Linked DNA regions of Danio rerio. The protein of the gene in region 1 binds, or shares a complex with, the protein of each later gene. Links are inferred from orthologs where the notes say so. Each region holds a gene or a part of one and is shown in the gene's direction. Other genes may lie near its edges. The genes, in order: zc3h13 and mettl14.

Region 1 (4,189 bases):
TTGATAATTAATACTTTATAGTCTACTCATTTTTGATGTAACCAAGATAGTACAAAAAAGAAGAGAGTCATGTATTGTAAAGCAAATATGTCTAAAAATTTATATAGAACATCACAACCATGGTTTCTGCAGGTGTCAGTCACTATTTCAAATGTATGACTTTTTAAGTCTTTTTTAAAACCATTGTGAAATAAATGTCAGTCTTATACAGGACTACATGCTAAGAATGGTTAAATTTTATTCATTTAATTTAATTTAATAACATACAATTCAATATTAACCTCACCTCAATGAGCCTTGTGGACCTGTATTTTCAGCATAAGTCTATTGGTTTAATTTTGGAGATCATCCTCAATGTTCAGTTGTGGCCTGTATTTATTTTCAATGTATTTGATTACCATAAAGAAGTCAGAAAATTTAACCTGGTGCTATAAAATCAGTCTGTGTTGTCAATCTACATACATACAAATCGAATACACGATCCTATAAAAAATTAAAGGCAGAGGTCTTTTTATTTGCATGTTGTTGCTTTTTATGTAACTATAAACTACTATTTTTATTTACTGCGGGTTATGGATAAAATATTAATTAATTAATACTATAAGATTACTTAATACTGTGTTTAATAATAAACACATTAATAATAAAATAATACTGCGTTTTAGTGATTTTTTTTTTGTTGCTGGATTAACTAGTCAGATGTCATCATAACCACACTTTAATTGTGTACTAAAAATATTTCCTAAAAAATGTAAAAATAAATAAACAAGACAAATTTTTAAAACACAAATTTATGACATCATATATCAATATGAAAAATAGCAATCTGTTAAAGGTTTAAAGTAAAAAAAAACAAAAAAAAACTGTAGCCTACTGTCATTTATTAGACAAAAAACAAACTGGCCAGCACATGCAACTGTCCTTAGTCACAATTTGGCCTTTAAAAAAAATATGATAATTAAAACATAATAATAATAATAATAATATATAATATATATATATATATATATATATATATATATATATATATATATATATATATATATATATATATATATATATATATATATATATATATATATATATATATATATATATATAATGTGAAATGCTGCCTCTACTGGCCTCAACTCATCATAATGCGTGTCCGCATTGTTGTTTGTAACTTTATAGGTGGCTTAAACTCTTTAAATTCTTTGTTTTTTTATTTTAGAATTAAATGAACATACTTTTATCATTAAAACACAACAGGAAATAATGTCCATGTAGCCTGTGTGTGCGTTTATGTGTTCTGTCTCCAAATAACTATTTTACATTCAGGCAAACCAATTCTTCGGATTAGACCTCCAGTTTCCCACAATCCACTTCTTTGTGCTTCAGGAAGCTGAATGTGTGCAGAGTTTGCGCTGTCTTGCCAGCATCATGACGGCGGCTAAGGGGAAGACCGCTTTGCAAGACTTTTGCATGTGATTAGGAGGTTATCCCCAATAGTCTGTGAAACTGGACTTGACGCATCAATCATATTCGGGTAAATTAGAATTTGTTTATGGAGCCATTAAAGGGTCCGTTTTAGCTGTATCGTTATATAGGCTTGTGTTAACAGTGTAGGCCGCGCTGCAGTCATGCAGTTGTATAGCTTCATTCTGCAAATGAATGACCGCTTAAAACGCGCACATATATTAACTATCTTTTTTGTGTGTTTGTGTTAAGCTTCGCATGGTGCATAAATAGTTATTGTCTCAATTACGATATCGTTGATGTGCGTTGGAGAGTGTCAAGCAGATACGACTAAATGTAGTACGTTACGTTACAGCCAGTGCTGTTGTTTACAGTGTTCGGGGCTCTGTAAAATAAATGGAACATTCATGGCTTTTTGCAAGCTACAAAAGCCACGAGAATTAAATAATTATAATGTTAATTTGTGTGGATGTAGTAAATTGCCCTGCATTGATGATCAGAGACAGAATCATCCTTCAAGCTAATGTTACAATCATCGCAAGCTGTTATTTGGAGACCACATTACATAATTAATTAGACATAACATTAAGTCATTATTAGCTAGAAACTAACCAAAATAATAAGCTAATTACACTAAACCCTAATAACAGCATGTGGATTTAGAACGATGAAAATATTTCAACTAAGTTATATGCAAACTGTTGAGTAAATAATAACCTTTTCTACATAATTGTTTATCATCTCATTATAAATTATTAAATATCTGTTATATATTTTGTTTTTAAACCAGTGTTTTGGCAATGTTTTAAAATCAGCTCACTTTTTTCCAAACAAGCAACCTATGTACAAGTATATATGTTGTTAATTGAGTTTGTCAGCCTGTAATTTATCATACTTTTCATTTTACTTGAAGGGTAGATTGTTAGCTGGCCTTTTCAGTCAGGATTAACTCGTTCAAAGTTTCTTGGGAAAAAAAATGTTCACACCAGAAGTGCCTGGTTTGATTTTAATTCTTGGAAGGCTAAATTCTAGCACAGATGTGATTACAAGTGTATGTTAATTGAGCAAATATATGCCACATGATATGCCATATACAATATATGCCATATTTTCTGGTTGTGTATTCTATTTATTAAGTAAATTCAACACTGCAGATTAACAAAGAGATTTTTATTGGCATTTTAGTAGTTTGAGAAAATAAATTGTTTAAGAAATAATACAGAGATATTTAAATCTTTAAAATAACATAATAGGTACAGGTGGTTTATTACCAGGTTTTTGTACCATGATTTAATACACAAACACAGACACAAATATATCACTAGTAAAATTGTCCACAATTTTAACTATGAAAATGTCAACAAAAGTCACTTCAAACTTTTCAACATCAAAAGCTTTTGGAGGAAAGTTCCAACAAGCATAAATGAAAAGAACATAATTCTGAATTCTGAATGATCTGTTTTAGTATTTTAATGTGTTAGAAGACATACTCATTGTCAGTGGCATAGTGTATTTTCTTAGTCTTGCTGATTTGACAAAGTTTTGTATAGTGCTTTCCCTAATCATTTTTATTCTACAGCAGTTTTACGGAAGGTTAAAGGGGTGATTCACTACAATATCATTTTTTGAACTTTAGTTGGTGTGCAATGTAGCTGTGTGAACATAAACAACATCTCTGAATGTAAAAAGCTCAAAGTTCAATGCAAAGGGAGACCTTGGTTTTTACAGAGTTAGCTTAGCAAAGCCTACAAGGAACAAATTTTGGGGACTACAAAAAATACTTCCGGCCCTTGTGAGATCACAAAGGTACTTTTACCGCGCACACACACTGCTGTGTTTTTATTTTTTAAAATTGATCATGACATGTACAGTGTCTAGCGTTAACAGTATGCTTTAGTAGCAATGTAAACAATGGGAAGTGCTGTTTTGCACCGCAAACGATTTAGCTACATATTCATATTTATCAGTCAAACTGATGTAAACACACACACACACACACACACACACTTCACCAGCACGTGCAGCGTCTCTTTATGTGTGTGCTCAACTTTGCATTGATTCTCTTAAGACAGCTTTTCCATGCGTTTAACATCTCAGATCATGGACTCGCAAAAGATATGTGGATGATTCATGTTACTTACACAGGCATATTCCGGATATATGTGAAAGACGCAGTGTAACGCGTTGAGTGAAAAAAATACAGGATAGCTCATCTAACTCGTGTAGCAGCAAAAAAAAAAAAGATTTATGAAAAAATAGCATGATTTCCTTCAAGTGAAACATGAGCACACATTGCTTTGCATCTTAGAAACACAACCAAGCCTTAAAATTACATTCTGTTAACCTGCAATTGTATAATATATGGTGTATATAAGGTTGTTTATATATGTATAAATGTTGGAGTTGGCATCAACTCCCTTTAAGGTTAGGTTATCATTAAAAAAAAAAAAGCTAAATTTAACCACAATTTAACCACAATTTATATATATAAATGTAAAGTTTTATGGCTCTGGGATCTTGACTGTAACACAGCTTTGTAATTGAAGTGATTTCTATTTATTTTTAATTCAGCCCTGCAGAATGTCCAAGATCAGGCGGAAGGTTACAGTGGAGAATTCGAAGACCATATCGGACAGCAGCAGTAGCACGACCACCCCCTCCCGCAGGCCCAGTGTGTTTGAGAGACTCGGGCCCAGCACGGCCAGTAATGCAGCAGAGGTACGGATTCTGG
Region 2 (4,843 bases), about 12 Mb from region 1:
AATACTGTTGAAAATTAGATACTTTCTTTGTATACATACATACCCTGCTTGCAGTCGCAGTATCCCCAGTCAATGCGTCCTCTGTTGTTCGTGAAGAAGCACCAGGGCCGAATTCTCCCGTCCGGATTTCGGCAGAAAGTGTGATCTCCGAGCCCTTTACCTTGATACCGCTCTCTAACACCGGGCACATCGCTCCAGTTCATGCACTTCACGCCTGATTCGGTTGCGTCAATGGACCCCTCGTAAAAGCCCGCTTTCCCTTTGCTCTGAACACAGTCAGTGAACGGAGAGCCGCCAGTGCGCGCGATCATAAGCAGAAGCGCGCAGACCGTAAAGACGAACCGACACCTCACATCCATCACGATCAACCTGTCCGTGACTGTCACCCTAACACCCGACAATTACTCTCCAGTCTGCGTGGATAAGACATGGTACCCGAGTTTTCTCATCTTGTCGTTTGGCTGTTATCAGAGCAGCAGACGCGGATCAATAAAAGAGAAACCGGGGAAGCCCGGAGCTTATGACTCATGCATATTGATGATCGTCGCCCAGTCTGGATTTCAAGTTTAAAAAGAGAACAGTTGATGGTAAAAATCAATAGTGTCCTTCATTTAATAGTGACAAGTTGCAGAACAATAGAAAAAGAATCTACGAGGCAAATAGTAATTGCTAAATAAATCATTCCACGATAGCGCCCGAGCTGCGCGCGCCGATCTTCCCACAGAGTGAACTTAAACGAGAGTCTGCCACGTTATATCAGTAATTTGGCGTCTAGTCTGGTCTGGTCATCACTGTTGGTCTCTCCGAGACAACACGGTGTACAAATTTCGGCTCAAGCTTTCAGAACTAATCACAATGACAAACAGCCAAAAGTTCACTTCTGCCCTCTTGTGTCAGTAAAATGCAACCAGAATCAATGCTTTTCATTTATGAAATTATAAACATTATTAATTATAGAATAATAGCTAATTTAAAAATATATTTTTAAAATCGGTTTCAGTTACTTTCAGTCAGCAAGGATAGATCAAAACAAATACAATATTAAAAGAAAAGAAAAAATACAATTATTCAAAGTCTAAATTTAAGGCTTTAAAATAATTAACATTGCTTTTTGTTTTAGTATTTTTTGTTTTTATATCGTACATGATCTATTTCTATTTTAAAATGAGTAAAATTAGGTTTTTTTCACAGCCCATTTACATTTACGAATAAAACAAATTCCACATATAATGAGCAAACACTATACCAAATTTTGAAGCCGGCTGTATTCTCATAATAAACATCATTTCTTTTAATTCCAATGCAATACTCGTACTCCGCAAAAAAAAAAAAGATCACACCAAAACAATAGTGTATAAATACAATCAAAATAAATGAACAATACTCTCTTCTTAATCGTTACAGAAAACACATTTTAAGTCAACACCTTTACAAAATTGTGCAATTACCTGTTTTACATGATAAAAACGATTAACAATTTTAAATATTAAGTTACCTCTCTAATTTTTCAGTTATACAAAAACGTCTGGAGATCTTAAAAGTCTGGTTCGAGTTTACGTCTTGAAATTGTGATCTCCAAAAACTAATGGCTGAAGGAACACTGACAGTCAAATCATTCAAAGATAATCATTATTACATTTTGTTTACGCTAGTTGTTTTTACTCCAAATAAAAGTAAGAGGCCGTCTACTGACGTCACCGTATGCGTCAAGCATTGTGATGATGTAAAATACATGCGACGGTTTCTCACGTTGAGGGTTTCAATGGATTTTTGCCGCACTATTGTTGTCATCTGATCATTTCACGATTAGCTATTTTCCTGCAAAACATTTTCGACATGAACAGCCGCTTGCAAGAAATACGGGAAAGGCAGAAGCTCAGACGTCAGCTTCTCGCACAACAGGTACGAATACACAACTTTATTTCTTCCTGCAGAAAGCCAGTTTTAGCAAACACTGCCATATTAACGCGGTGTTATATTACTAACGCCAATGAACGTAGAAGCATTGCGAATGTTTTATGACATTAATGATTTGTTTTACAGCTCGGAGCAGAGAGTCCCGACAGCATCGGCGCAGTTCTCAACAGTAAAGATGAACAAAAAGAGATTGAAGAGACTAGAGAGACCTGCAGGTATAAACCATTTGTTAAATTCAAGGACTATGTGCAGCACTAAAAAATAAAGAACACTAAGACCTATATACCCCAAAAGAGCTAAAACTGTACTGATAGGACAACCTTTACATTCAGCACGGGTATGTGATGCTGCTACTTGTAAGTTAGTATTAATCAGAACGATGCTGAGGTCAGTTACCATTTGGTTTGTTTACTGTAGGGCATCATTTGACATATCAGTTCCTGGTGCTAAAAGGAAGTGTCTGAATGAGGGTGAAGATCCAGAGGAAGATGTGGAAGAGCAAAAGGTGAGAGAGCGCTGATCAGGAATCGGCTGTTAATTCAGAAAAGCCCTTACATTTGATCAGGTCAGAGCTATGTGTAACTGATTTTGAATCTGCTGTATGGTGTAGGAAGATGTTGAGCCTCAACATCAGGAAGAGAGTGGACCATATGAAGAGGTGTACAAGGACTCCAGCACATTTCTAAAGGTATCTTTAAACACAATTGTATATGATTTAATTGAGCAATCGGGTATGAGAAGCTATGATATTTTTGTGAGGATACTCAGACATATATTCACAAAACGGTTACCACTATATACTGTCATTAAAGGCAAAAACATGGTAATTTTTGAAAAGTACGATCTTTAAATTCTTTCATTCCATCAGAAAAACTGTCCCTTACAGTAAACGTAAACTGCATTGGGTTTTGCAATTAAGGTATGTTTCATAGTTCTTAGAACTAATGTAGGAAATTCTCGCTTTTGACATGTTTGTAATGCAAGGACTAGGAACAGTTTTAGTTATTGGAGCTTTTTTGGGAAACAAGTGTTACATACAGTATATACATACAGAAAGCTAGAGATAGTCTCATTTACCTGTTGGCTTTTTCTGCTTTCTGCATTCTTTCCTTTGTATTCCTTTGTATTATGTATCAGTATAAGATGTCATAGGGGATTTATTTCTTCTGGTTCCTTTTTCAGTTGCATAGTTTATGTCTATGCAAAGTCACTCTAAATATTACTAAAATAACATAAGTAATGTTTTTATTATATCATTACTTGTTTCACAGGGCACTCAGAGTTTAAATCCTCACAATGATTATTGCCAGCACTTTGTGGACACAGGTCATAGACCTCAGAACTTTATCCGAGATGGAGGTAAAGTGTTTTTCTACTTTTTCTTTTTAGTTTTCCACTTTGAGAGTGTGTTAACCTGTGTGTTCTCATGTGCTGTAGGTTTGGCTGACAGGTTTGAGGAATACCCCAAACAAAGAGAGCTCATTCGACTGAAAGATGAACTCATCTCTGCCACCAACACTCCCCCCATGTAAGAAAACTTGGTCTCAGTCTATGTCATAGGGCCCATACCGGCCAGTGGTGCCCATTTGCAGTTTTTGAAACCTGAAAATTATTCACATTTGTGTATAAAACACTGGGTTTTATTTAGATTCTAGAATTTTATTTGAACGTACTAAAAACAAAAGTGATTTTGAGGTTGCTAAGCAAATAAAATCAGTTATTTTTTATAATAATTAGAAGCATTTAACTATGGGACAATTGGGTCTTTTTCAATGCTTTTATGAATGTAATAACTCTTGCGTTTGTGTGCGTTTCAGGTATCTCCAGGCAGATCCAGACACGTTTGATCTGAGAGAGTTGAAGTGCAAGTTTGATGTGATTCTGATAGAGCCTCCATTAGAGGAATATTACAGAGAGTCAGGCATCATTGCCAATGAGCGCTTTTGGAACTGGGACGATGTGAGTTACTGCAAATTCTCAAAATCAACCTCATGAGAATGTTTTTAAAATTGATTTCAATTATGTATTATAATACACATTAGAGATATACTTGACTACACTCAAAAATGAAAATTCTATCATCCCCACTTGTCCCAAAGCTGTTTGAGTTCATTTCTTCTGTTAAACACAAAAGCAGATATAGTGAGGAATGCTGGGGGAAAACAGCCGTTGACTTTCATAGTTTTTTTGTTTGTTTGTTTTAGTTGTTTTTGTTGTTCCTAATATGGATGTAAGTGGCTGCATTTTCCAACATTCTTCAGATTATCTAGTTTTATGTTCAACAGAAGAAAGACATTGATAACAATTTACAACCATTTGAGTCTGACTAAATGGTGAGAATTTTCATTTTTAGATGAACTATCCATTTAGATAACAGTTATTATATATTTTATGCTCATATAATATAATAATGTAAGATGTCCTAACATATATAATAACTTATTTTTGTATTCATGTGTGCTTTAGATCATGAAGCTGAACATAGAGGAAATCTCATCCATTCGCTCTTTTGTATTCTTGTGGTGTGGCTCAGGAGAAGGCCTTGATCTTGGCCGAATGGTACAAATCTCACAAATATACAAACTTGACATGGCAGATTTCTGTTCCATGTGCATAAACCTAAACTTATCTCAAATATGATGTACACATAATAACCTGCCCACATACAAATATGCTGCTTTTACATCATTGCCAAATATTCTTTATTCAAACATATTTAAACATCTTTCATTCTTCTTTCTCTCTCAGTGTCTGAGAAAATGGGGCTTCAGGCGATGTGAGGACATATGTTGGATCAAGACCAACAAAAACAACCCTGGCAAAACCAAAACACTGGACCCTAAAGCAGTGTTCCAGAGAACTAAGGTAAAAGTTATTGTCTATAATATATAGAGTCATAGGCAAAGCACAACATTGTAATCTCACT

What was found.
Region 2: zc3h13 (region 1) and mettl14 share a complex: the UniProt entries of both Homo sapiens proteins name them as parts of the WMM complex. The link is inferred for Danio rerio from reciprocal best matches to the Homo sapiens genes ZC3H13 and METTL14.

What each region holds. Positions count from the first base shown.
Region 1 is NC_133176.1:33,353,836-33,358,024, forward strand, and holds the start of zc3h13 (zinc finger CCCH domain-containing protein 13), read left to right. Parts: upstream 1-1,389; 5' UTR 1,390-1,528; intron 1,529-4,029; 5' UTR 4,030-4,038; coding exon 4,039-4,176; intron 4,177-4,189. UniProt on the Homo sapiens protein: Associated component of the WMM complex, a complex that mediates N6-methyladenosine (m6A) methylation of RNAs, a modification that plays a role in the efficiency of mRNA splicing and RNA processing.
Region 2 is NC_133176.1:21,570,122-21,574,964, reverse strand, and holds the start of mettl14 (N(6)-adenosine-methyltransferase non-catalytic subunit METTL14), read left to right. Parts: upstream 1-1,744; 5' UTR 1,745-1,836; coding exon 1,837-1,902; intron 1,903-2,043; coding exon 2,044-2,132; intron 2,133-2,334; coding exon 2,335-2,422; intron 2,423-2,527; coding exon 2,528-2,605; intron 2,606-3,188; coding exon 3,189-3,276; intron 3,277-3,354; coding exon 3,355-3,445; intron 3,446-3,734; coding exon 3,735-3,876; intron 3,877-4,383; coding exon 4,384-4,476; intron 4,477-4,665; coding exon 4,666-4,782; intron 4,783-4,843. Other genes in the region: prss12 (neurotrypsin), read right to left, coding at 44-359. UniProt on the Homo sapiens protein: The METTL3-METTL14 heterodimer forms a N6-methyltransferase complex that methylates adenosine residues at the N(6) position of some mRNAs and regulates the circadian clock, differentiation of embryonic stem cells and cortical neurogenesis.